Linked DNA regions of Caenorhabditis elegans. The protein of the gene in region 2 purifies or fractionates together with the protein of the main gene of each other region. This does not show direct contact. Each region holds a gene or a part of one and is shown on either strand. Other genes may lie near its edges.

Evidence for each region. The genes of interacting proteins can lie anywhere in the genome.
Region 1: the proteins of act-5 (region 2) and dim-1 fractionate together in Caenorhabditis elegans (co-fractionation; one large-scale study listed by BioGRID). This does not show direct contact.
Region 3: the proteins of act-5 (region 2) and rpl-23A.1 fractionate together in Caenorhabditis elegans (co-fractionation; one large-scale study listed by BioGRID). This does not show direct contact.

What each region holds. Positions count from the first base shown.
Region 1 is NC_003284.9:8,052,928-8,061,801, reverse strand, and holds the start of dim-1 (Disorganized muscle protein 1), read left to right. Parts: upstream 1-3,581; 5' UTR 3,582-3,589; coding exon 3,590-3,634; intron 3,635-3,917; coding exon 3,918-3,975; intron 3,976-4,022; coding exon 4,023-4,100; intron 4,101-4,171; coding exon 4,172-4,225; intron 4,226-4,272; coding exon 4,273-4,808; intron 4,809-5,435; coding exon 5,436-5,610; intron 5,611-7,093; exon of another isoform or gene 7,094-7,229; intron 7,230-8,302; exon of another isoform or gene 8,303-8,648; intron 8,649-8,712; exon of another isoform or gene 8,713-8,874. Other genes in the region: C18A11.3 (DUF4309 domain-containing protein), read right to left, coding at 447-532, 580-671.
Region 2 is NC_003281.10:13,601,410-13,609,846, forward strand, and holds act-5 (Actin), read right to left. Parts: upstream 4,658-8,437; coding exon 4,157-4,657; intron 3,822-4,156; coding exon 3,355-3,821; intron 3,305-3,354; coding exon 3,145-3,304; 3' UTR 3,003-3,144; downstream 1-3,002. Other genes in the region: shpk-1 (Carbohydrate kinase FGGY N-terminal domain-containing protein), read left to right, coding at 6,663-6,736, 7,121-7,223, 7,267-7,378, 7,468-7,628, 7,787-8,069, 8,125-8,291.
Region 3 is NC_003284.9:4,711,317-4,718,593, reverse strand, and holds rpl-23A.1 (Large ribosomal subunit protein uL23A), read right to left. Parts: upstream 3,417-7,277; 5' UTR 3,411-3,416; coding exon 3,262-3,410; intron 3,194-3,261; coding exon 3,001-3,193; intron 2,944-3,000; coding exon 2,842-2,943; 3' UTR 2,794-2,841; downstream 1-2,793. Other genes in the region: F55D10.4 (G_PROTEIN_RECEP_F1_2 domain-containing protein), read left to right, coding at 123-274, 1,331-1,538, 1,583-1,702, 1,752-1,885, 1,933-2,005; Neuroligin-like protein glit-1, read right to left, coding at 3,738-5,387, 5,441-5,608, 5,663-5,893, 6,155-6,298; dnj-14 (J domain-containing protein), read left to right, coding at 6,856-7,022. UniProt on the Caenorhabditis elegans protein: This protein binds to a specific region on the 26S rRNA.

The sequences.
Region 1 (8,874 bases), on a different chromosome or scaffold from region 2:
GGGACTATAGATTTTTTGATACCCTGATTCCAAATATCATAATAGATTTTCACGAAAAATTCGAAGTTTTTCAATACTTCAAAAATTTAGGGGGTCCTACAGCAAGCGCGCGAACTGTATTACATTTGGTTAAAATTTATCCAGTTTCGAATAAACAATAATTAAGCATAGTATAAAAAATGTAGAAAAAAAGTTTTTTTGATCGACTTCCAAAATTATGAGTGGCAAAAACAATTGTCACTTTTTGACCGTAAATAAAAAAGTTTCAAAACAGTTTTGAAAAGTTTTATAATGATATTCGGTAACTTTTTGACCATAGGAGTTGTTTTTAACAATTTTCCCACTGGCGCTTTTTTAAGCAGTGTTATTCCAAGTAGCAATAATCTTTCAAAATACTTTTTTCTAAATTTACTGACTGGAGATACCAGTGAAAGCCACTAACTAACCCTGTACAAAAGACCAAATCACAGCTCCAGCTACACATCCAATTAAAACCAAAGAAATAGCAAGACGAATACCGAAACTTCGAAGGCTAAAATAAAAATCTACAATTTTCAAACAATTTTTTAAACAACTTACTTCTTGCCAAAATCTGCGCCTTCTACTAACTCGATATCGTCATCGTCTTCGAACTCGTCCGCAAATCTTGGTAGTGAGCCGCTTTTGCTCATCTGCAAACAAAAATAATAACTAAACTATATAATTTAAATTCATATTTTGTGTAAACCGGAAAAAGGAAAGGTTTTATCACACTGAAAATGGCAATAATTGCTCCACACGATACGTGGAGGGTAATAAATGTTAAAGATTTATCAGTGGCGGTTTCGTATGCAATGTGTAACTTTTGGAATGAAAGTCATAAATTTCAAGATTCAAGAGAGAGCTGGTATAAAATTTTTTAATACAACAGGAACAATCCGTATCATTTGTGTTTGTTGATGTTATTAAACAAAGTTCCGCATTATTATGGCAAAAATTGATAAAAAATGTTTGTGCACATCAACATTAAAAAAGGTTACTAATGTTTCCACATGAAGAGTCTCTGGAAAAATGAACAAGTTGTAATTTCACCGTAAAAGTAGTTCTGGAAGAACATGTTTGAAGAAAACCAAAAATTGACAATACCAAATAACATTCTATGTATGCAGGGTTGTCTGAAATAATTATTTTATATTAATTTCAAAGGAACACTATATGATAATATCTGGAATAGGGGAAGCAATTAACATAGTCATAATAAAACATAGTTAAACAATTCCTACAAATTTAATAGTCTAATTATGTTTAAAATACTCATATTCAAACATTACAGTGATTTGAGCATTCTGCAGTGCTATAATTTTGTTTTCAATAAGCTGCAAAAATGCAGTAATTGCAACATTTGATTGTCAACAAAAAACTATTCAAAACTTTCAAATAAGTGTTACTATGATATTTAATCATTTTTGCACCATAAAAATGTTTTTTTAAGCAATTTACCCTATGGCGCTACTCCACTATTAAAATCAGTTGGTGTTTCTGGATGAATGTATTTATAACTTTTATCGGCTGCTTTTTCCGATTATGTCTTCGGCTGCACTCAGTTTGTTATTACGAGCCATCTGTGCTCAAGGTCGATAAGGTCAACTTTCTCGAAAATACGTTTCCCCTGTCCTCATTGACATCTTTCCCCCTCTCGTGTCTCCTACTTTTCACCCTTTCACCAAATATCGATCAAGTCGATTTTCAACGGGTTCTCCAGGCAGGTGGCTAGTACGTACAGTTTAGAATTGAATAGTGATGTCGTTTCGTCTCGTAGTGTTGAACTCTGGCGTTGTCTAATTCTCTTCTCCGCAACGCATCTCTAGCTTGCACGGCGACGGTCACCCACGATGCTGGGTCGCAAAAGACCTCTGGTCACCCTTCCCGTTACCGCCGATGGTGATCTAATAGTTATCGAAAAAATGAAAGTATTGGATTTTTAGGTATTGTTGCTAGCACAACTGTATTTGTCGATATTGTTGTTTTTTAATTCTCAATTGGGAGCAACAAAATTTTTTACAAAGTATACTCATGTTTCAATATCGGTTCTTGAGTGATTGGTGATAATTAAATCTCATTTAGAAATTCTGATTGAATTTTTTTCCGGTATGTGATTTTTTATTAATATCCTGAAAAATCGGCGAACTTATGTTCAAATAATATAGTTTTTAGTTTAATGTCCCGGCATACTTGTTTGTTAGTTTACGTTTACCATCCAACCTTTAAGCACCTTTTCTAAGGTTTTTCTTACCCGGCGATGGTCACCCACGATGCCGGTCACCAAAGATGCCAGGTAGCAAAGGATCCCTAGTCACCCTTCCCGTTACCGTCGACGGTAATCTCATAGTTATCGAAAAATGAAAGTATTGGATGTTTTGCATGCTGGCTACCCAACTGTACTTGTCGATATATTCTAAAAGTTGTTTTCTCATTGTAATTTGAATGCAACCGATTTTATTACGACCGATTCCAATCCTTTAAATTTTTTTGAAAACTTTTAATGTCTTGTTTTATTAGAATTAGTATTTTTATTTCATTTCAAAATAAAAGCTGTTGAACATTTTTCAACATCACTATCTAATTTTCAAATTACAAGGACCGGCAAGTAAGTTAAATTTTTTTCAAATTTTGGTTAATAGCTAAGTAGCATTAAAAGTTTTAAATCGAAAATGTTTTCAGTTGTTGATAATGTTTGATTTATCTGAAAACTTTACTTTAATGCACAGAAGTAGTGTTCCCATTTGCGAATTCAAATACTCCAAGTAGTTCGAATGTTATAGCTTATTTGTTTATCAGTTTATGTTTAATCCCAATTCATCAAACACATTTTTGTGCGTTTTTTTTTACACGGCGACGGTCGCCCACGATGTCGGTCATCCTCGATGCCGGTCACCCACAATTCCAGGTTGCAAAAGACCCCTAGTCACCCTTCCCGTTACCGCCGACAATGATCTCATAGTTATCGAAAAGAAAGAAAATATCGGATTTTAGGCCTAACACCACATGTGTACACGCCGATATCATTTAGTTTTTTTGTGGTCAGTTTTATCACGAAGGTGCTTCAAAAATTGATCAATTCATAATTATGATAACCTTCAATTTATGACTTTTATGAAATTAGTTGGTTTTGATTACAGAGATGAGAAAATGGTTTTTCAATGAAAGTTCTCACTTAACAATATACATTCTAAAACTATGCCAATTGTTCAAACCAAAACAAAATTGCAAGTCAGTTAAACTTGACTTTAATTATTGACAACAATTAGGTAGATTTCAAAAAGCCAAATCAAATTATTGTTTCATTATTTCAATGGTTAAAAAAACTCGCCTTAAAAGTTTTGTTTTGTCTGAAAACCACAAAGTCATCTGTTCCCGTTTACCTACAATACTTACTTACTTACTAAACTTTTCATTCACTTTTTGTTTATTTAACTTTTTGTGTATCAGTTTTTGTTTACTTTCCGTCCATCAAGCTTTTTTTTCCTCACTCATCCTTTATTTCAATTCTCGTCCTTTTTTCTATAATTAACAACACAAATCTTAATTTTTTCAGTTTAACTCCATAAGAATGGCATCGTTAGCACCATTCTTTAAAATTTCCGACTCCATCTTGGTAAGTGTCAAAACTTTTGTAAAATTTCAACGTTTCGATGCAATATTTGCTATTCTAATAACTTGGTGTTTTCACTTAACACAAGTCTTTACACTTTTAATAAGAACCGATAATCACAGTGAGATGTGCAGTGTTACCACTTATTGAGTAGTATCCTTGTGCAAACACCCCCACGACATATTGCGTACATTCCCGATTCAGAAATTTCTGGCTTATAAGGAAGCAATAACTCTAATTAATTTTAAAAAAAAAGAATAAAACGCTAAATATTATATATACTCAGGCTGATGAAAGTTTCGACGATCTGGAAATCAATAATCATTTTAAATGCACTAGCAAAGGTAAGTAAAGTGTTTTTGTCAATTATCTTATAATTTTTCAACTTCAGATCTAAATGAATACCCAAGAACTTCAACCCCATTGCCTGGAGAGATAACATCAATTTACAGCTTACCCAGATCATATAGTAGGTGTTAATGGATACGATTTGTATTTTTTTAAAGACAAAATTCAAATATGATAAAATTAACTTTTCAGATAATCAAAACCTTTGTACAAGAAGTAAACCAACAACATTCATTTCACAAAATCGTATGTTCGATTACGTTAAAAAATGTTTCTATTATTCATTTTTTCAGAACAAAAAGGAATGACGGAAAAACCGAAGCATTCTGAATATTTTTTAAGACTGATGAAAACACGCCAAGAAATGCAGAAAAAATTAACTGCGAAAAATGGTTCAAACAAAAGTGTGCAGCAATATTTGAGAAAGTTACCGCCCAGTACGAGCAAAGAAGTGACGATAATACCAGTGAAAATGAAACCTGATGACAATTCAGTTTATATTTCTAAAGAATTAAGTGACAGGACTGACACAAAACTACCGAAAGTTTCAACAAAAGAGGTAGAAAAATTTGGAGAGCAGTCAGATGATGAAGAGAGGCATGAGAGGTCTCATATCGCATCGGATTTTAATCAGAAGACCCCGCAATCAACGCATGCAACGAGTAACCATAGGAAGAGAATTTTCATAGGGAGGACAGGTGCTAAGCAACAGCATGTTAGTAAAAAAGCCACAGAGAGTGAATTACCTTATAATATCGACGTGTCAACCTCCAACACGACAAATGCAACCGAGGCTCTCAAACTGTTAAAAAGGCCACTTCTGTTACCAGTGAGTTTTAAAACTTACAAATTTAACTAACAGTTAGTTTAGTGACATAAAAATTAATAAAAGTTAGTGAAAAAGTAAAACATGACCGACTTTCTATGAATTTCAAACATAATATTTCCAACTAAAACCAAGAAGAACCAATAAACTGTAAAATAAAATAAAATGTAAAGTTTTTACTAAACATAACGATTTAACAAAAAAATAAAAATAAAACTTCAGTTGTTATATGTTTTCAAGATAATTTTTGAAAGAGTTCTTATTGTTGGAAAATTATTAGTAACTTTCCTTATAGAGAACATTTCATATTTAAAAACCAATAAAACATTCAAATCGTCACTGAAACATAAATTGGCAAAAAAGTAGGCAATTTCTATTTGAATTAACACCCATCAGCCAGTTTTTTTTTCAAATTTTTTCACCGTGTTTTACACAGCTTTGCATGAAATTTTTAAAGCTAAAATGTATAATCTTGTATTTTCTCAACAGTTTCTCTTAAACAGATCATGTTTCATATCAAAGTTTTACACAGCAAAAACTGCAAAAAATGAAAACATGAAAACGTACAAAAGTGTTCAAAACTATTCCAAAATATTAATTTCCCAAAAAATAATGGCTTGTAATTTTCAGAGTAAGGATCCACGATCGTCAAAAATGCCCCGTTTAGATCTCAATCAACATCAATTCCGCTGCAAACAGTACATAGTCCATTCACAATTTACATGTACTCAAATTGAGAAAACATTTAAGTGCAGAGTTGGAACATCGACAGAGAGTGAAGACCTTGATGATTACTATTTTGATGGTGAGTACTTATTTGTTCTTGTGTCAGTTATCAATAAGCGAAGAAATAAACAAAAACAGTATTGGAAATTAAATCGAATGGTCTGCACACTGTGTCAACCACAGCGCCTCCATGATCTTAGAAACAAACAAATGAGCAAGAGATTACCGTGCGCTCTTTTCCCGACAAACATAGAAATATAGTACTTGATAGAAAAGAAATAGGGAAAAGAGGAGGGCAAAAAGCAACAAGTTGTGAAGAATAGTCAACAATATTGGTCGGGAGGGAGGTTTCTGCTTGTACGTATATATTTATTGAAGTGACGCCGACTGACGACGCAGGATTTGCTTTCATACAATTTTTTTTGGGGGGAAACACGATAAAAATGTCCCGTCGTTTTTATGCATCAATGCATCATTCTTCGGAAGTTACTATTATACATACAATCACTTTCTTAGGGTTTTTTTCTTTATTTTCCAGTGAATGCTCAAATTGTATATTTTCTAGTATGATTTTAATAGAAGAAAGTTTTCATTGAAAATAAGACAAATAGATAGGTCAAATAATATATAATAAATTGAGTGGTATAGCATTCTATTTTTTCGAATCAAAAACTCAAATCTTAAACGAATAATTTTTTCCATCCAAACTGAGCTACGATTTTGACACTTTCTGAATATTTTCAAAAATTTACAAGCCTAGTCGTATATTTTGAAATTAAATAATTAAACCTTGAGAGGTTGGCAATTTTAACATTTCCGAATTTTGACATTGCCGAACATCTCTGCAATGAATGTTTGGGGGTTCTATGTATTCTTGTCGTAACTATTTGTTTTCTTTGCACTCGTTCGCTTTGACCAGACCACTTTTCTTTTATGCTATGAACTCATTACGCAGAGATCTCGCACAACAATTTGTTACTTGCACTGTTCATCTTGTCCTTTTTACTCTTTTTTCCTTCCGTTTACTTTTTCATATTGCACACAATGAGACTGTGCTGATGGCTGCTTCAAAATTTCTGGGACTGTGCTTCACATTCTTGTGTACTCTTTCGCTCACCACCAGTTTTTTGCACTGTTCTCTAGAGTGAAAAAGGAAAATTGAACAGTTACATTGTGTTCGGTTTCAGTCAATTTTTTTGTTGTACAATTAGCGTCGCTAGAAAAAGTGTTTTTTTTGCTACTCTACTGTTCTTGTCTCATGCTATTTTGTAGAGTTTAAATTTATTTTTAAAAAATGAATGTCAATTAAAATGTGAGAACTGGTAGAATCAAATATATACGTTTCATTTCTCGCGTAAAAAATTAAGAAAGTAGTCTTCTAACCTTCCATCTAGGCTATAAATCTCATTTATCTCTAGTTCCACTTGGCCACCAACTCCTCCGCAAGCAAATGATGATGATAGGGACCATTCGTAAAAGCCGCAGAAGCCCGAACAGTCAACTCGAACAGTTGTGGGGTCTTAGCGTGTGTGTTAGCAGGGAAATTTCTTTTTCCAAAGCGTATGAGGAGGTCCCGCTCGGTCGGTTAAATGAGCAAATATCTTCGCGACATATGCCAACGCGATTCGTATTACGTTTATCTGCTCGTCTAACACGAAGGCGAAATTGATGAAACGTGGGTGGGAAATGGAAACTAAGGAGAACTTCGGGGGGACGTGTGAAGCCGATAATGATGAGATCATACACTATTTGTCGTCTGCATATTGATCTATGTAGGACATGTACTCAACGATTTTATCTATTTCTCGGAACTTTTTTTTTTTAATTTTGAAGTGTTTTTGCGAAATTGTTTGTCTCTGCCGATTATTTTGAGAACAAATCGGCGTAGTTGTAAGAAAGATATAAATCAACCTGGTAAGAATTCTACCAATAACTAAAACTATTTAACTTCATCATGTACATTTCATTTGCCAAACAAAATTCTTTAAGCTATTTGCTCAATTTTCTTTTTTCATATCCCGCTTTTTATGATATCATCAATGTTCATTCAAAAAAAATCACACAACCACTCAAAAATACAAAAGGCTGTCTCAAGTATACACATACTTCTGCAGCTTTTCCTTTCCTCTAGGAGTATTTTTTGTGATATGATCACATTGAGTTTAGATCGGATTCGAGAATGATATTGAATGAATCGTGGCGCCAGGTAACTGAAATTTTATTTGTCAATGAGAAAGCGAGAGTTCCTTTTCTTCCACTATCCACCTACTCTATGGGGGTGCGAGCCTTTGTTTGTCAACTTGAGCTATTAAAAAAAGATACTGTTGAGATAAGTGCCGATTTCGATTTTCAATGCACTGCGGCTCTATCATATCTGCCTCCCCTACTAAACCCGCGCTCATTTTTTGTTTGAAAAATCAAAATCGCACGTTTCTTCATTCCGTCATAGTCATAGATTTCTGATAGGTTCCACGAGATGCGTTGGATCAGCCATGCAAGTCGTTGAGATTGCATGAGTTTCAGTTTCACGGGATGAACATATGTTCCCCGATCATGATGTGTGTGTTTTACATTTTTAGATGATTTATTGGGAAATTAGTTTTGTGCAATAGGTTTTCTGTCGTTTTTAGCTGTTATGGTTTATGTATATGTATATTCTTATTGGGTGGTATTTGAGAAGCTTGCCAAATTCATAAATCTCTTATCAAATCTATTAACATCTATCCAATGTACCCCGAACTAACTAGTTACTTTTTATTCTTTCTTCTGTGGGACCTTTTTCTGTGAGATATTTGTGTTCTTTCACTATCAGTGGTCGGCTGGCTAGCTGTCCTCCCACGCAGTAAACTTTACGGATCGATAGGTGATCAGGCAGCAGAAGCAACAGTGGTCCTGCCGAAACTTTCGAGAAAGACACAGAGCCAAGGCATGTTGATAATCATTGATAGTGATAGGTTCGACTCTGTCTCTCTGTTTTCTCTGGTCCATCAATCTGAGCCGTCATATCTACTTGCTCTGGACTCCCGCGGGGGCGCGCTCCTGCTCCGAGACCTTCTTTCTCTCCTTTATCCTCTCGCCTCTAGTACACAGCACGGTAGGAAGAGAGAAGCGGGAGGGAGGGCGCCGATTTTTGTGTAACGCTCCGAAGCGCGCCTCTTGTCACACTGTGATTAGAGTTGGCAATGCAGCCTCGGCAACGGCGGCGGAGTCCCGCTAGTACAGAGACTTGGGATGCTCCCGTGGATGTGCCTGCCCTCTCCGACTCTCACCGCATACCCACTTGGCATCCTTGTCCATCTCCTATCACTTAACATTTTGTTCTTGGCCTTGACCAGTCCAACTT
Region 2 (8,437 bases):
TTCAAAACGTTAATCTGGTCAGTATTTTATGGAGAACAAAACTTGTACACATTGATGTAATAACTCTCTCCACACGTGAAGTTATAGAGCTGCAAACGTGTTACCATACTTTTGGCCCACCCTGTACTGCAATTCTATAAAAATAAACATTAGGGCGCGCTTGCACATCAATTACAAAAAGCGCACCATTCGGAGTCATCATAATCGTACAGATGCGAATCCGAATCGACGTCCGAGTAACAGTTGAACAGCTTAAAATTGAAGATATTCTCATAAATATTTTATTTCGTTCGATTCGAATAAATCGTGTACTTTTATTCTGGATATCTAAGACAGCATAATTTCAAAGAAGAATGCTATGTGCAATCATCGCAGTCACTTGATATGGATCACAGTTTGACGATGGACGACGATCCTCCAGATATCCCTTTCTCTCCGCAGCCACTTGTCTCGGAATACGAATTGAGCATCCACGATTGGCGACTCCCCACGAGAACTTGTCAGCCGAGCTTGTCTCATGACGTCCTGTCAAACGACGAAGATTGTCCTCTCCACCATGTGGATCGTACACCTTCATCGCATCCAAATGAGTACGCTTGAGCCCGTCCATGGCAGCTTCAATCGCGGCGATACCGCCTGGAGCACGCATTTCAGCGTGGAGAAGTTGGTATGGCATCTGGCTCCGTTCCAATCTCCCATGGTGACCTTTGGTTTGGGATCAAGAGATACGCAGACACCGAATTGTTCAGCAACTCTGGAAACATTTTTATTATATACAGGATCGTGATGAAAATACCTGTGCAAAATATATCTCGACATCCACAATTGATCTCCCATATCGATTCCTTCGCAGGTTCCGATTTGGAATTCCCATTGTCCAGGCGTCACTTCAGCATTTGTTCCGAAAATATTGAGCCCGGCGTGAAGGCAAGCACGATAATGTGTCTCAACGACTTCTCTCCCGAACGCACGATCCGCTCCGACGCTACAGTAGTACTTTCCTTGTGGAGCCGGGAATCCGTGTTTTGGCCATCCTAGTGAGTGCTCATCTCTGTCGACGATCAGATATTCCTGCTCCATACCAAACCATGGGCGGGTATCACGGATTTCGTTCATGATTTCGGCGCATGCTTGACGATGACTGGTTGCTGAAAATACTTCTTAAAGGAGCACCATTTTTGCACCATTTTTGGAGTAGGTCTCGCCGCGACAGATTTAACAGTAATAGAACTATTAAACTGTTAAACGAATATGAATTTTGAAAATTCTTTAAAAAAAACTTCATATAGGCGCAAATGCCTACGTGTTCCATGAAGTTTTTATTGCATTAAGTCAGCAAAGCAACTAGAAGGCGCATAGGCAGGCAGGCATCTAAATGCCTGTTTATTTTATTTCCTAACCTGTTGGCTGCATTTGATGGTCCAGCGTGTCACACATCACCAGCTTATTCCCACCGCCCAAAAACGGATCCGGATAGGCAGCGACTGGACGCAAATAACGATCCGAGTCACGTCCCTTTGCCTGCCCCGTCGAGCTTCCATCATAATTCCAGATGGGATAGTCCTCAATTCTCTTCGGAAGTTTATCAAAGGTTCGCGTTTTCGAACGGAGATTTTCCCCAGTTCCATCGATCCACACGTAGGTCGCCTGGATCTTTGTCGGATGAGGACGAAGTCCCAAGAATTGATCAATGACGGCTGTTCCAAGAGGCATGCGAGTTTCAAAGTTCAAGTGAGTCATTTTTACCTAAAACTTTATTTCATGTCTGGAAAATCTGTGTAGAAACTTACGGTTATTAGAATTTGCAATCGAGAGTTGTTCGTCGAGTAGAGCCAAGCTCGTAATAAATTGAGTTTGACCACCCACGCGAAAAAAATATTTTAACTATTGAGGAAATCTGTAGGCCGGCACGTTTAAACTTTTTGGAATGTTTTTTTATACAAACTTACAACAAATGAACCGTAACCGTCTGACTAGAATTGTGAATTTTGAAAAAAAAAAGTCGGAAGAAATGTATTTACGTGTAAGAAAAAAATTGACAAAAAATTTAATCGAATTCTATAAGAAGAGTTTTCAGTTTAATAATCGGCTCCTAATTTTTTTCGTACTTTTTTCCGATTATTTAAATGTTCACTATTTTTTTTTCTCCGGAGAAAAGCAGGTAACATTGCGTGCAATTTGAAAAATATGTAGTGTGAACGCGCTCAACATTTTAAAATTAATTCATCCTTTTTCCTGCGAGAAATCACTATGTACCTATCGAAAGCTTGTTGCTGGCTGCTACTCGAAAATTTTTGTAATTTCGGAAAAATTTGCATCTGGATATTTAGTGCAATAGAATTTAGAATTGGGCACAATTTATGGATATTTATAATTCCCGCCGATATTGCATGTATCTACTCATTTTTGACTCATTTTTCAGAAAGGTGGTTTCTTGTAGTTAGAGACAACTTTATTTGAAGAATTGCATGCTCTCTATAGCAAAAAGAACCGATTTTCCATAAGAAATCAAAATGGATGTTGCAAACTATCAAAAATGTTTTACAGTAAAACTATAAGACCGTACGATCATTTTTTCTCAAGAGTCATTTTTCAGTTCACTTTTTAAAATTTCTTTTTCCCAGTTATTGCAACAAGATAAAAATTATGGAAGTTGTCAAAAAAGTATCAAGAAAGCTCTGTATCACCGAAAAAAACGGGAACCGGATGGTACCGGAGTTGCCGAACGGCAGATCCGGTTTAGGTTAACTTATTTGTTTGTTTTTTTTTCTTAATTTCTAAGTAAAATCAATTTGGTACTTGTGCATTATTTCCCCTCATTTTAATATTATCCATTTTAATAAAACGTGATGTCCATTTTCCATCTTTAGGCTTAGAAATGATTATTTCCTAAGCCTAAAAAACAAAAACTCCACACGTTTTTATTTAAAATTATATTTTAAAAAATGAGGGGAAATAATACACAAGTACCATCAATTTTACTCAATTCCCAAGTAGCAAGTGGTCCTAACAAGTTTATTCATGTTAAGAAACCATAAATATAAAGAAAATGAAGTATCTCATGGAATTTGTGTCAAGTAAAATCGTGTTTCGCCTAGAAATGGAAGGCACATGTTGAAAAAAAAAATTTGAAAAAAAATCAGCTTAGAAGCACTTTCGGTGAACAATCGATGGGCCGGACTCGTCGTACTCCTGCTTGGAGATCCACATTTGCTGGAAGGTTGAGAGGGAAGCAAGAATAGATCCTCCGATCCAGACGGAGTACTTGCGCTCTGGTGGAGCAATAATCTTGATCTTCATTGTGCTGAAAATACAAGAATTATAATCTCATGTACTGAGAAATGTGAAGCTTACCTTGGAGCCAAATGTTGAATCTCCTTTTGCATACGATCAGCGATTCCTGGGAACATGGAGGTACCTCCGGAGAGAACAGTGTTGGCGTAGAGATCCTTTCTGATGTCGACATCGCACTTCATGATGGATTGGTAGGTGGTCTCGTGGATTCCGGCACCTTCCATTCCGATGAAGGCAGGCTGGAAGAGGACTTCTGGGCAGCGGAATCTCTCGTTTCCGATGGTGATAACCTGTCCGTCGGGAAGCTCGTAGCTCTTCTCGAGGGAGGAGGAGGAGGCGGCGGCGGCGAGCTCGGACTCGAAGTCGTGGGCGACGTAGCAAAGCTTCTCTTTGATGTCCCGGACGATTTCGCGTTCGGCGGTGGTGGTAAAAGTGTAACCGCGCTCGGTGAGGATCTTCATCATGTAGTCGGTCAAGTCGCGTCCGGCAAGATCGAGACGTTGGATGGCATGTGGGAGGGCATATCCCTGGAAGATTAGAAGATAAGATCGGATGTAGGTTCTAGATTTCTTAGATCCCAAAGAATTCTCACAAGAAGATTGTGGATCAGATAAGAAGATCAGAAGCTCAGGCTATGATTTGCAGAGAAATGAGGTGGCCTTGCTCTTACTAAGTTCTTACAGTTCCAAAAACTTAAAACTAAGGATAAGAGCTGCTGAGCTGAACTAAAAGTTTCCGAAAGCGCTGTGAGCCTGTTTCTGGCTGCAAAAATTAGTCGAAGCAGACGTAATCTCCAAAACTTTACACCGCCAAGTCAAAGAAGATTGCTGTCTTCTTATATTCTCTAAACCCATCTACCTACTTCATAGATTGGAACGGTGTGAGTGACACCATCTCCGGTGTCCAAAACGATTCCGGTGGTTCTTCCGGAAGCGTACAAGGAAAGCACAGCCTGAATGTTGACGTACATGGCTGGAGTGTTGAAGGTCTCAAACATGATCTGTGTCATCTTTTCTCTGTTGCTCTTTGGGTTCAATGGAGCCTCGGTAAGGAGAACTGGGTGTTCCTCTGGGGCGATACGAAGCTCGTTGTAGAATGTGTGATGCCAGATTTTCTCCATATCATCCCAGTTGGTGACGATTCCGTGCTCGATTGGGTACTTCAAGGTGAGGATTCCTCTCTTGGATTGTGCTTCATCTCCGACATACGAGTCCTTCTGTCCCATACCGACCATCACTCCCTGATGACGTGGGCGTCCGACGATGGACGGGAAGACGGCGCGTGGAGCATCGTCTCCGGCGAATCCGGCCTTGCACATTCCGGATCCATTGTCGACAACGAGGGCGGCGATTTCTTCTTCCATCTGAAATTAATAAAAGGTTGAAGAAGTCGAGTTTATAGAAAACGTTATTAAGTGATGTACGAGTACTATAAAATGCCGAAAAATGAAAATGTTGCCACATTTCCCCAAAAATGCAAAGTGTGTTATCAGTACCGCAGCCAGCTCACCATCGGGGGGAAAACGAGAAAAAGAGAGAATGGAGAGAATATGCCACATTCTGTATGTATATATGTGTGTGCGTTTGATACTGATAACTCCCTCTCTCACTTCGTTCTAAGAATTGCAGGTACGTGGTGGTTATATGTACACACTCACACACACACACACACACAAATTATCACGTCACACAGACAAAGTCATAGTTTGGTGAGCATGATGTAAGCAGCCTGTCAGAATTTGTGCTCAATTCTAGAACATGAAATTGTCAATTGACATGATATGCACTGGGAGGCTGTTAGCTATGGCCGATTTTATAAAATTGCTCAAATCAGTATAACAAATATGGAATAAACCTACGAAATTTTTGAAAATGCAGGCCAACAGGCTTACATCCGGGCTCCCCGAACTTTCCAGTAGCTCAAGCCGGCTGGTCCACTAACAAAGCATTTCAAAAAAATGTTATACATTGTCAGTTGACAACTTTACATGACCTCCTAAGATAAAAAACCCCCAAGAGATAAAAATCAACTACCGCCAGTCACTGGAGCGCTAGGAATGTAAAACTAGAAAAAATAAAGTGATAACATTCCAATTGACTCCAACTTTTAAATACTCCCTAAAATTGAAGTTTCCGCCTACCATTCCTCTTAAAGAAGCCATACTGGGAAAATGAGTCACTGATAAGTAATGAGTCAATGCTAGTTAGAAATACAATAGAAATTTAGGATCATAAACTATATTTTTTTAATGTTAGGGTGCAGCTAATCTTGAAAGTGCCGAAGATTCAAAGTTTCATTACATTACCCTTTCCGTATAATCCCAAAATACCCGTAAAAGTTACTACTACCCTATTCTGCTTATCACTGATAACAAAGAGGAAAGATGAGAAATCGGTCGAAGTGTGGAAGAAATTAATAGTTTAATTATTATTTTGAAAAAAGCAATTAGAAATGGAATAATTGAGATATCGACAATCTGAAAAACGTGAAAATAGCAGCCGGCAGCTTCCTGGGAATGTATGTAACATGGCAACAAAAAGGAAAAGAAAAAAGTTGTAAACTAAATAACAAAATTTATGTAGATTCATGTGTTGGATAGTATATTTTAACTTTTCGGCTGTAGAGGCTTATAGGTGGTTAAACTATATGTTTGTGCATTTACTATAAATCTTCTAACTACATTATAACATCATTACATGATAATCTAAATTACTGAAAAATCTTCATTACCAAGAAATAACTGTCAGTTGAACAAAAAAAAGATAATCTAAAAACTGTTTTGGCAATATTCTAATATGTATCACTTGTCGGACGAGGTATCGGAGTTCAATGTTTTGTTCCAGGTAGCACTATTCAAACTACAGTAACTCTACACTAGTTAAAAATAACAAAAGTTGTCAACTGGTAACACTTTTCATTTCTTAAACGTTTTTAGTTTTCAAAGAAAAGTTACATTTTTGTGCCCCACTGACCGAAAATGTACTTGCATCAACGAATTGTTTTTGTGAAATTTTCAAAACTTCTCATTACGAAATTTGGTAGTTTTGGGTCACTTCGGATCTAAAAAAAGCAAAGTCTCAGATTTCGGTACTCCATCTTTAAATCTTATAATCATACTTGCTTTATGTTTGCAATAGATTTATAATGTTTTTCCAATTTCTTTCCTCAATTATGCAAATCCATAAACTCCCGCCTCTGCACACCTCCAAAACGCTCCAAAACAGTCTCCCCCACTCTTCTATTTTTCTGTTTCTCTTGCACCCTCTCACTCTCTATTTATGCCCGTTCTTATCATTTTCAAGCTTCTTCTCATTCCAGGAAACCTCACCCCCGATTCCTCTTAAAATTGGAAACTCTTATCATCATTGATGACGGAGCAAGTTCATGTTGGCATTGATATTGGCACAACTTCGGCTAAAATTTGTGCAAGGAATGGGGAAAAGTGAGAAAATTCAATATAATCACAAAATTAATAAAAATAAAATTGCCTGCACATTATCAGTTGGCAAGTTTTGAAAAACAAAATTAAAATACAAAAGTGATTAATTGTTTTATTCCTTTGATTGGATCAAAACTATCTCAAAAAACCTATTACCAAAATGTGAAATGTAAATTTTTTCTGAATAGAATAATTGTACAACACTGGCAAAATCTGAAAAGTCATCAAAAAAAGTTTCAAGTCAAATAAATAGGTAATTATTTTGAATACGTTCTTTGGAATATTTCAATTTTTCAAAAACCATCAAACCATAGTGCCATCAAAAACTGAGTGTGTAAATTTTAGTACGCTGATTTTGTAAATAGATAAAACACTTTATATTTTTAGCGTAATCCTAGAATTCAAAAAAATCTACGAAGGTGACAATTCTGATGCAGCTGGACTTCAAAATCCGAAGATTATAATTCAAACTGTTTTGGATTTGTTGGAAGTTTGTAACCGCCTAAAAAACTGGACAAATTTTTTTTTTGCAGAGAACAAAATCTAATTTAGAATCGCGAAATCTGAAAATATCCAATATATGGACGTGTGGACAAATGCATGGAATTGTCATGTGGAAGCAACGACAGAATGAAATTGATTTAGGTATACAAAATGGGAGTTTTTGTTGCAAAAATTTTTGTATCTTAAAAACAATAATAATGTTTTCTCATTCAAAATAATGCAATTTCCAGAGACCCTAACCATCTCACCATTGTACAATTGGACATACAGTTCTACGGAGCTCCCAGCGTTTCTAAAAACTATTCCTAAATGGGAATGTGGAGATTTGCATCCAGGGTTTGGTCTTGTTACGCTGGCGTTTTTGAACTACAGTAATCCGGAATTTTTAACGGTCAGAAATTAACGCATTGAATCTAGAAAACTAAAAAGTGGTCGGGGTCAAAAAAAATCATTATTATCGGCGAACGGCATTCGCTGTTTGCCGTTTGCCGCCCGCACAGCCCTGGCTCATACCCCTATAACTCGGACAAAATTTATGACTTTTTTCAGAATTTTATACATTGTGGAACCATAATGGACCTATTCATCTCTATTTTGACACAAAACCCGGACCCCCTCATCTCTCACCACAACGCTCACAGCTGGGGTTACTGTACTGAAAACGCTACGTGGCAGTCAGAAATTTTAGATTTTCTCCCTAAAACTCTGAAACTACCTGACATAAATTCTTCCTCTGAAGTTTCGGGGACTTGGCACGGTGCCAAGTGCCACGTGGCATCAGGAGATTTGCAAGCTTCCGTGGCATCGCTGGATTATTATGAAAATACCGCTTGTGGGTCTTTTTTCAGAATAGTTTTATTTTTATTTTAGCAGATTTTTAATTTTAGATGTAATCCTCGGCACATCTGCTCAACTATGTTGCCTTATTCAAACTTCGGAAAAAAATGCTACAGTAATCCCGGCTACCGTAGTCCGGCTGCCATTCTCCACGTCGAAAACTCTGGTGGCCGCCTGCGCAATGAACGGGGGAAATGCTCTGGAAGCGACGTTGAAGGTGAGCCTGGGAGGTGTCGGGTGCTATTTCGGGAATGAAAAATTCTGAGAATGACGCGCACAATATCTCCTTGCGAAAACTACAGTTATTCTTTAAATGACTACTGTATCATGTATTGTTCTTACATCAAACACATTTGTGATTAA
Region 3 (7,277 bases), on a different chromosome or scaffold from region 2:
ATTAACAAGATACCTCCAAAATATAATTATGAATATTTATATATGGAACATTGCAGTCTTCTATCCAGCTAATCGAAAATTCATCTTCAAATTCCAAAATTTCAACGTTCTGTCATTTCCAGCTAGTCGACATGAAGTCTCGTTCGTTCGCTGAATTGGAAAAATTTCCGGCTTTGACGACTGCTATTTTGTTGAACTCGACTATTAGCTTGCTGACCTTGCTGACAATTGGATTTGTGCACGCGCTCGCGCGACACAACTATCATCTATCGAGGTTAGTTTATTGCTTTCGGGGAAGCTTAGGGTTTTTGCCCCTGAGAGCAAATCAGGTGCACTCCTCACTTTTCCTGAAAAATTTCCTTAAATTAAAATATGAAAAAGGGCAAATGCACCGAATGTCACATCACATACATGTTTCCCATGTATGCGTCACATAAAAGAGTCTCTCGAGATTTTCATTAGTGCCCGTCGTCGTCCACGCTAAAAAGTTTTCCAAAAAGAAACATGAAACTTTCCTTGTTTGTTACATAAAAGATTCCTTCCCTTCTCTTGTTGTTTAGTCAAGGGGTCAACTAATTACTATTCTTTAGCACAGTTATATAGTATTTTTTTTGTTACATTTTGAAAATTATATGCATTGATAAATACTACGCTCAAAAAATAAAATTTTCTTATCAAAAGTAGGGAAGGTGACTCAAAATAAATTGGGCATATGCAAATCTTTGTCACATTTCATTAATCAGATACACCAAAACTTGACCAAAAAAACTTGGTTTGGAATAACCAGAACAATAATTTTTTAATATGGCAGACTTCAGTGTCATTTTATTATTCAAATACTTTTTTGTGCAAATTTAAAAAATAACGCAAAGTAAGTAGACTTAAATTCACTATTTAGATGCTGGAAGTTTTTGGCAATTGGCATTTTCAGAAGTCGGCTATCGACATTCTTTCAATTAAAGTATAGTAACTTTTGAAATTACGACAAAATGCCGGTTACCGCAGAGCCTTGTTAACTGAAAAAAAAACAGTTCATTGAAAAAATAGACGAGCTCGCTTAAGTGTAACATTTTTCAACTAATAAATACTTAAATACCATTTTTATGAGAGAAATTGAAAGTATTCGAAAAACTCGAAAATAAGTATAAAACATAAATAAAGACATTGTTTCTCAGTCTTAGAAATATTTAATTTGTGATTATTTTTTAAAATAATTCCTCAAAACCAAGAAATGTTTCAAAATTTTGAAACTAAAATTAGTACTTTGAATTAACTGAATTTCACTGTTATTATACATTTCTAATTTATTATCCCATCGACACATTTCCAGGTCTCAATTATCTCGATTAATCGGCTCAACATGGCTTCTCGTAACGTTACTGCTTCTATCCGACTTTTTCCTAATCCGCCTCTCGAGATCTTTTGTGTTAGCAGTGCCTTTTCATCTTGCTCTTCTATCCGTATTCCTTGTGCTCAATTTGATTATTCATCCGCTCAATCTCATCCAGCTAATCATATCACAACGTCTTAATCCAGAGGTAAGGGATCGAAAAATTGCATTTGAGTATTGAAATTTTTGTAGGAAAATAGTCAAACAGTACGGTTAAAGAAGGACTGCGCAACAGCGTCACTATGGTTGCTGTTGAATAGTTTATCATTTATTATAATTTTTATGATGGTTGCCTGGGAGTCCAAGGAAAAGGTAAATAATCATGTTATTGTTAGATTACAAAATTGGAACACAACTTCAGGACCAGTATAACTCAATTATGGGGATTGAAGTTGCGGCATTCTCTGTTCATTGTGTCGCAAATCCATTGATAGCTGTGATCCGAGATAGACAGTTAGAACGAAGTCTTTCCAGAATAATAATGCGAAATAAAAGGTAAAAATACCTGTGAATATTTCAGATGTTTATTATTTATTTTTCAGACCACGAACAAATCACGAAGAAGATCTAATTATTGCACTGATGCGTGATCCCCCACCGCCATACACCGAGTAACTGTCCTGAGAACAGTAATTTAATTTCATCTTCCGGTTAGAATTGTGAAAACTTGTAGTAATATTGCAGAAAATTGTTTTCATGCAAACTCCTTTCATCCATTATCTTTTTCAATCACTTCTGGTTAATAACTTTTGATCTCAAACACGTTTTTGCCAGATATCATGTTTTTTTTCGAAATTTTTCGCATTACTCTTGATCTCTCAATATTTATTTTAATGTATGAATGAATAACCAGTTGCAGTGTTTTTTTGTAATAAATTGTATTTTTCATTTAATTTCATAGTATTTGTCATTAAAAAAAATTGCTTACAATGTTCAAAAAAATAAAAAAAATGAACAATTTATCGTTGTAAGAGTTTTGCACTCATGTTCTTTAGGATATTCTTTGAAATATGGCAACAGCTCAAAATTGTACAAGAACAACAACAAATCTAGAGTTGTGAAATGAAAAATCTGAAGTTATCATGGCACAATATTGCTTATTAGTTAGTGCAACATTTTCAAAACGGTCTCATCGCGTGAAACACTCAAAAAAAAGAGTACGAAGTAGAATGGGTGAGAAAAAAAAAACGAAATTTGGTACTTGTGTATTACATGCCCTCATTTTAAAAGTAGTTTTTTAAGTCAATAATTTTTTAGAATCAAAAAACATATTGTTGTATTTTTAGGCTCAACAAACAACCATTTCTAGCGCTTTAATTTTAAATCAGGGTGATTTTCATGAAATGTATGATAACTACTGCTCTTACAATTAGTATTTCTTTCCCTACCAAATCAGCAAACATTTTTAATAACAAATTGTTTATTGAACAAACAAGGAACAAGAAAACAATTTAGATAACTCCAATCTTGTTGGCAACGTCGAGAGCATCGTAGTCAGCGGTGAGGCGGACGTAAGCCTTCTTCTGTTGAAGTGGAGTGATGAGGGTGTTGACCTAAAAACAAGCATTTTGATTTCTTTTTGCCTGGAAATTAAGATGCTTCCAACAAACCTTGAGGGCTTGGACGTTGTAGAGCTTGTGGACGGCGTCCTTGATTTGGTACTTGTTGGCGTCGTTGCTGACGATGAAGACAAGGGTGTTGTGCTCCTCGATCTTCTTCATGGCGGACTCAGTGGTCAATGGGTGTTGGATGATGCGGAAGTGGTCCATCTTGGAGGTCTTTGGGGCAGACTTGCGTGGGAAACTGAAAATCGATAATTAAAATCATTCAACTTTTTAAATAGTTCTTTTAATTGGACTGAAATAACTTACCGAGCCTGACGGGCGGTCTTGAGGGTGACCGGGCGACGGAAGTGCACGGAGGTGCGGACTTGACGTCTGTGGGTGGTGCGTTTTCCCTTGACGACCTTCTTCTTGGCGTCGAGAGCCTTGGCAGTCTTAGCTGGAGCGCTTGGAGCCATTTTACCCTGAACAATTGATTAGAGTGAAAATGACTGGAAAATTGAGTTAAAAAAGATAAACAGCGGCTCAAAAAACCAGTTAAATGAACAATTAAAAAAATCATTAGACAATACATGTTTTCTTTTTGAAAATGCAATAACAATTATGATAATAATAAGGCATCAGTAAGATAAGGCTCCGAAAAAATAGAGATCACAATTGGATGGTTTAAAACTCGTACTAAACATAAAAAGTAAGTGAAATGAGATTCTGATCACAGAAGTTAGTAATTATTATGTTAGTACTCTAAAAAATTTAAATTATACATTATTTACAAACTTTGAAAGTTAAAGATTGGTTATTCTAGATCTTGGTGATCGAGTCCGTGAAGAAATAGTAGCATCCGACACTGAGTGACCAGTGTCCCGGTATTCGACGAGTTGGTGGTTTTCTGCTTTATAAGCCGCCTCCTCGTCCTCCTTGTTTCCCCAAACCATATATCCAAACGCGCCAGCAAGTACTATCAGTAGAGCGATGATGATGACGTTGACTCCAGTGATCCATTTGAAAACCATGATTTCTCGTCGGTACGCAACATTTTCAGGGGAAAACGTCGTTGTCATGTAGTTCACCAATGCAGGGATGTACTCATTCCAGAATGCAACATCTTGATAGCGATAGTCTCTTGCAAGAGTTCCAGGAATCTTCCAGTCTTCTTCATGTGTGTAGTTAAAGTTAATGTACCAATGACGCCTTGGTTCGTATGCTGCCCAGCTGCCATCAAATTGAAAATTTGGGTTCTGATGATAACTGAATCGACGTATGATGTTGGAAAACGTCCTGCTCGCGTTTCTATCTGTATCCGTAAAATTTATGCCTCGCAGACCAATCGGTCTCAGCTCGTCCGGTAAAAACGGATAGCCAAACATCAGATACAAGTCACAATCCCGACAAACTCCCATCCAGTCAGGAATAAATAGCAGGTTTGGATGCTGGCGACTGAAGTTGTAATTATTTACATATTGAAAAACTCGTGATCCCGAAGAACTGTGGAGATGCGAGGAGAGTTGCATCGGAGCAGTGTAGTAAGCATCGGTAGCAAATTGGATAAAGTTTTCCTTGATTGCCCAAGCAGCTGCTCTATCAGGCCAGAAAGTGTATTTGGAGAGGATCGCGTCGGCGGTAGCTTCCCGATTCATTGAGTAGTTATGACGGTAGCAATATTCCAGCGAGTAACTTTTCAAATACTCGTGGTCGACATCGTTGAACTGACTAAACTCTCCGAGTCTTCTGTCTTCCAGCACGACTTCACTGCCATCTTGAGCATTCATTCCAATAAGCATTGGTACTGGACTCATGATTGAAGTCTCCCCACTCGGCGCGTTGACGAGAGTCCATAGCGGGTTTCCAGGGAGATATTTTCCATCCACCGTTGGCATGAACAAGTATCTGTTGTACTCGATAGGAATGTTCCTTGTTGCATCAATGATGTCTCCGGTTGATCTTGTCAGAATACAATCCCAACGATGTTGTGCAACAGCTTGTGTACATCCTGCGTAGCGTCCCAGCTTCATTGTGTTGTTGAAAGCCAGTGCAGTTTTTCCAATGTAAGAGTGATATGAAACTTCCGCTCCGGACATTGTGGCCGCCGATCTGAAGAGGTGCCTGGAATACGGTGACTGCATGTGAAATCCGATCGAAGCTGCTCCTGCATCGTGCCCGACAACTGTGACAGCTTGTGGATCTCCGCCAAACGTTACAATGTTGTTTTTCACAAACTCCAAGGCTAGTCTCTGATCCTGTAGTCCATAGTTGCCGGTTTCAGAATCTCCCATACTCATGAAGCCGAAAGCACCAAGACGATAGTTGACAGTTACTACAACCATTCCTCGAGAAGCAAGTCCATGCGCTGGCCACTCATTTGCAGACCCAGTTTGGAAATTCCCGCCGTGGAAGAACACAATTACCGGATAAGTGGTTTGTGCATTTTTGGAAATCTGGAAAATTAAATAATTATTTTTCATAAGAAAAATTCAATAAAACTTCTTACGTCAGGAGAGAAAATGTTCAAGTAAAGACAATCTTCATCGACCATGAATGGATAAGGATGATCTACAAATGGACTGGGCGACTTTTCAACATCTTGAGCACATGAAGCCGCGTAATTGAATGCCAAATACGGTTGTTTCCCTGGAAAGACGGTAAGCTGCTGTGGTGGCTGTAAAAATGTAAAATGAGTTATTCAATTTATGATATGTCGGAATAAGTGTACCTTAAATCTTCTCTGAGACGTCGGTGGTTCTGCATAGGGCACTCCTAGAAATGTGAAGACTGTGATATTGTTTTTGGGCTTCAGTGGATTCGGATCAAAGTGTGTTCCGTCCTTGGGAAGCTCTTCGGTTGGATCTTTGTGAATTGTCCAGGGCAGGTTGTGGAGATGAACCTCTTTGCCAACAATGTCTCCCAGAGGCAGTCGAACAACCACTTCATCTCGGTTTAACCCCTGCAATGTACACAAATGTTAGGTGAGGTGACGACGCAAATCGATATGCATTTAGGCAAATAGAGCGAAACATCTTTTGCAGAGTTCAGAGAAAGAATAATAAATTGGCTCAATTTTTTAGCGAAAATAATCAATTCAGTTTCTTTAAAATAATCTTACATCATTATTTTATAACATTCTATTTTCTATCATTTTGATAATAACTACTAGAAAAGTTTAAATTTCTAGGTAAACATAGTTTAAAAAATTCAAAATACTTACTTGGTTTACTCCGCCATGGGGAAATGGTGTTGTCGTTGTTTTAAACGGATCCCATAGATCTACTGGACGCGTTGGTGGTGGAACAAATTGTGAAATGACCAGCGGTAATGTGAATAAGCTATTGAAAATTGTGCCGGTGAACATTCCATGTGACGCGATCTCTGAAAAATTTAATTTTAAAAAAGAAAAATAAAATATCTCTTCGAAAAATTTCATTGAAAATTGAAAATTGATAAAAGCCACGCAAAAAAAAGCGAAAAATTTTTAGGCAACGAGTGATCATCAGGTTGATGACCTACGGTAACACACATTTCGAGCTGTGTCAATATGGGAAACAACGCGCTGCGGGACCGCATGCGAGGCCGGCGGAGCGCATTTACGACCCTCTTCCTCTCCCCCACTATGTGTCACCACTGCCGTATGGGAATGGTTGCGTCTATTTACACTCTCATTTTTCGCCGTTGTCTCTCCCAATTTTCGCGCTCTCCGTCAAGGCTCATAAGTGTTTTACATATTGATTTTGACTTGTGATCTGAACTGTTCGGCGAATATTTCGCTAAACTGTTTCCCCTCGACACTCTCTCTAGTTTTTTTTTCTATTGGCATTTTAATGTGATAGGTTTAGTTTTCAATTTCCGTTGTTTTAAATAAATTCCTCCTTGTTTCCTTTCTTTTTTAAATGCAAATCTAATTTCAGGGAAATGAACTCAGACGGATTACGGGAAGCGGAGGAAGGGAGAACAAGTGGAGGAGCATCTCCCCGTGAAGAATCTCCAGCCGCTGATCATTCGCACGATCCGAAAAAGGGACTTCATTTGTACAATGTTCTCGGCATTCAGAAAAATGCCACAGATGACGAAATCAAAAAGTGAGTCTTTGAGTTGAAAATACATTTTCTAAATTCCTATTCTTGCTATAAAGAAGTATTGTTATCAGTGTAACGCAGTTATTTTTATTATAATCGTTAAATTTAATCAATTGTGGTTTCTTCTGACTTGAAAATTGTACAAATTGGGTGTGTCCATTCCGAACGAAATCGAGTAAATTTTGTGAAAAGTGAAAATTGTTGGAACAATTTGACGAATGTACCCAAATGACCAAATTTCGTAATGTGACTTCTCGA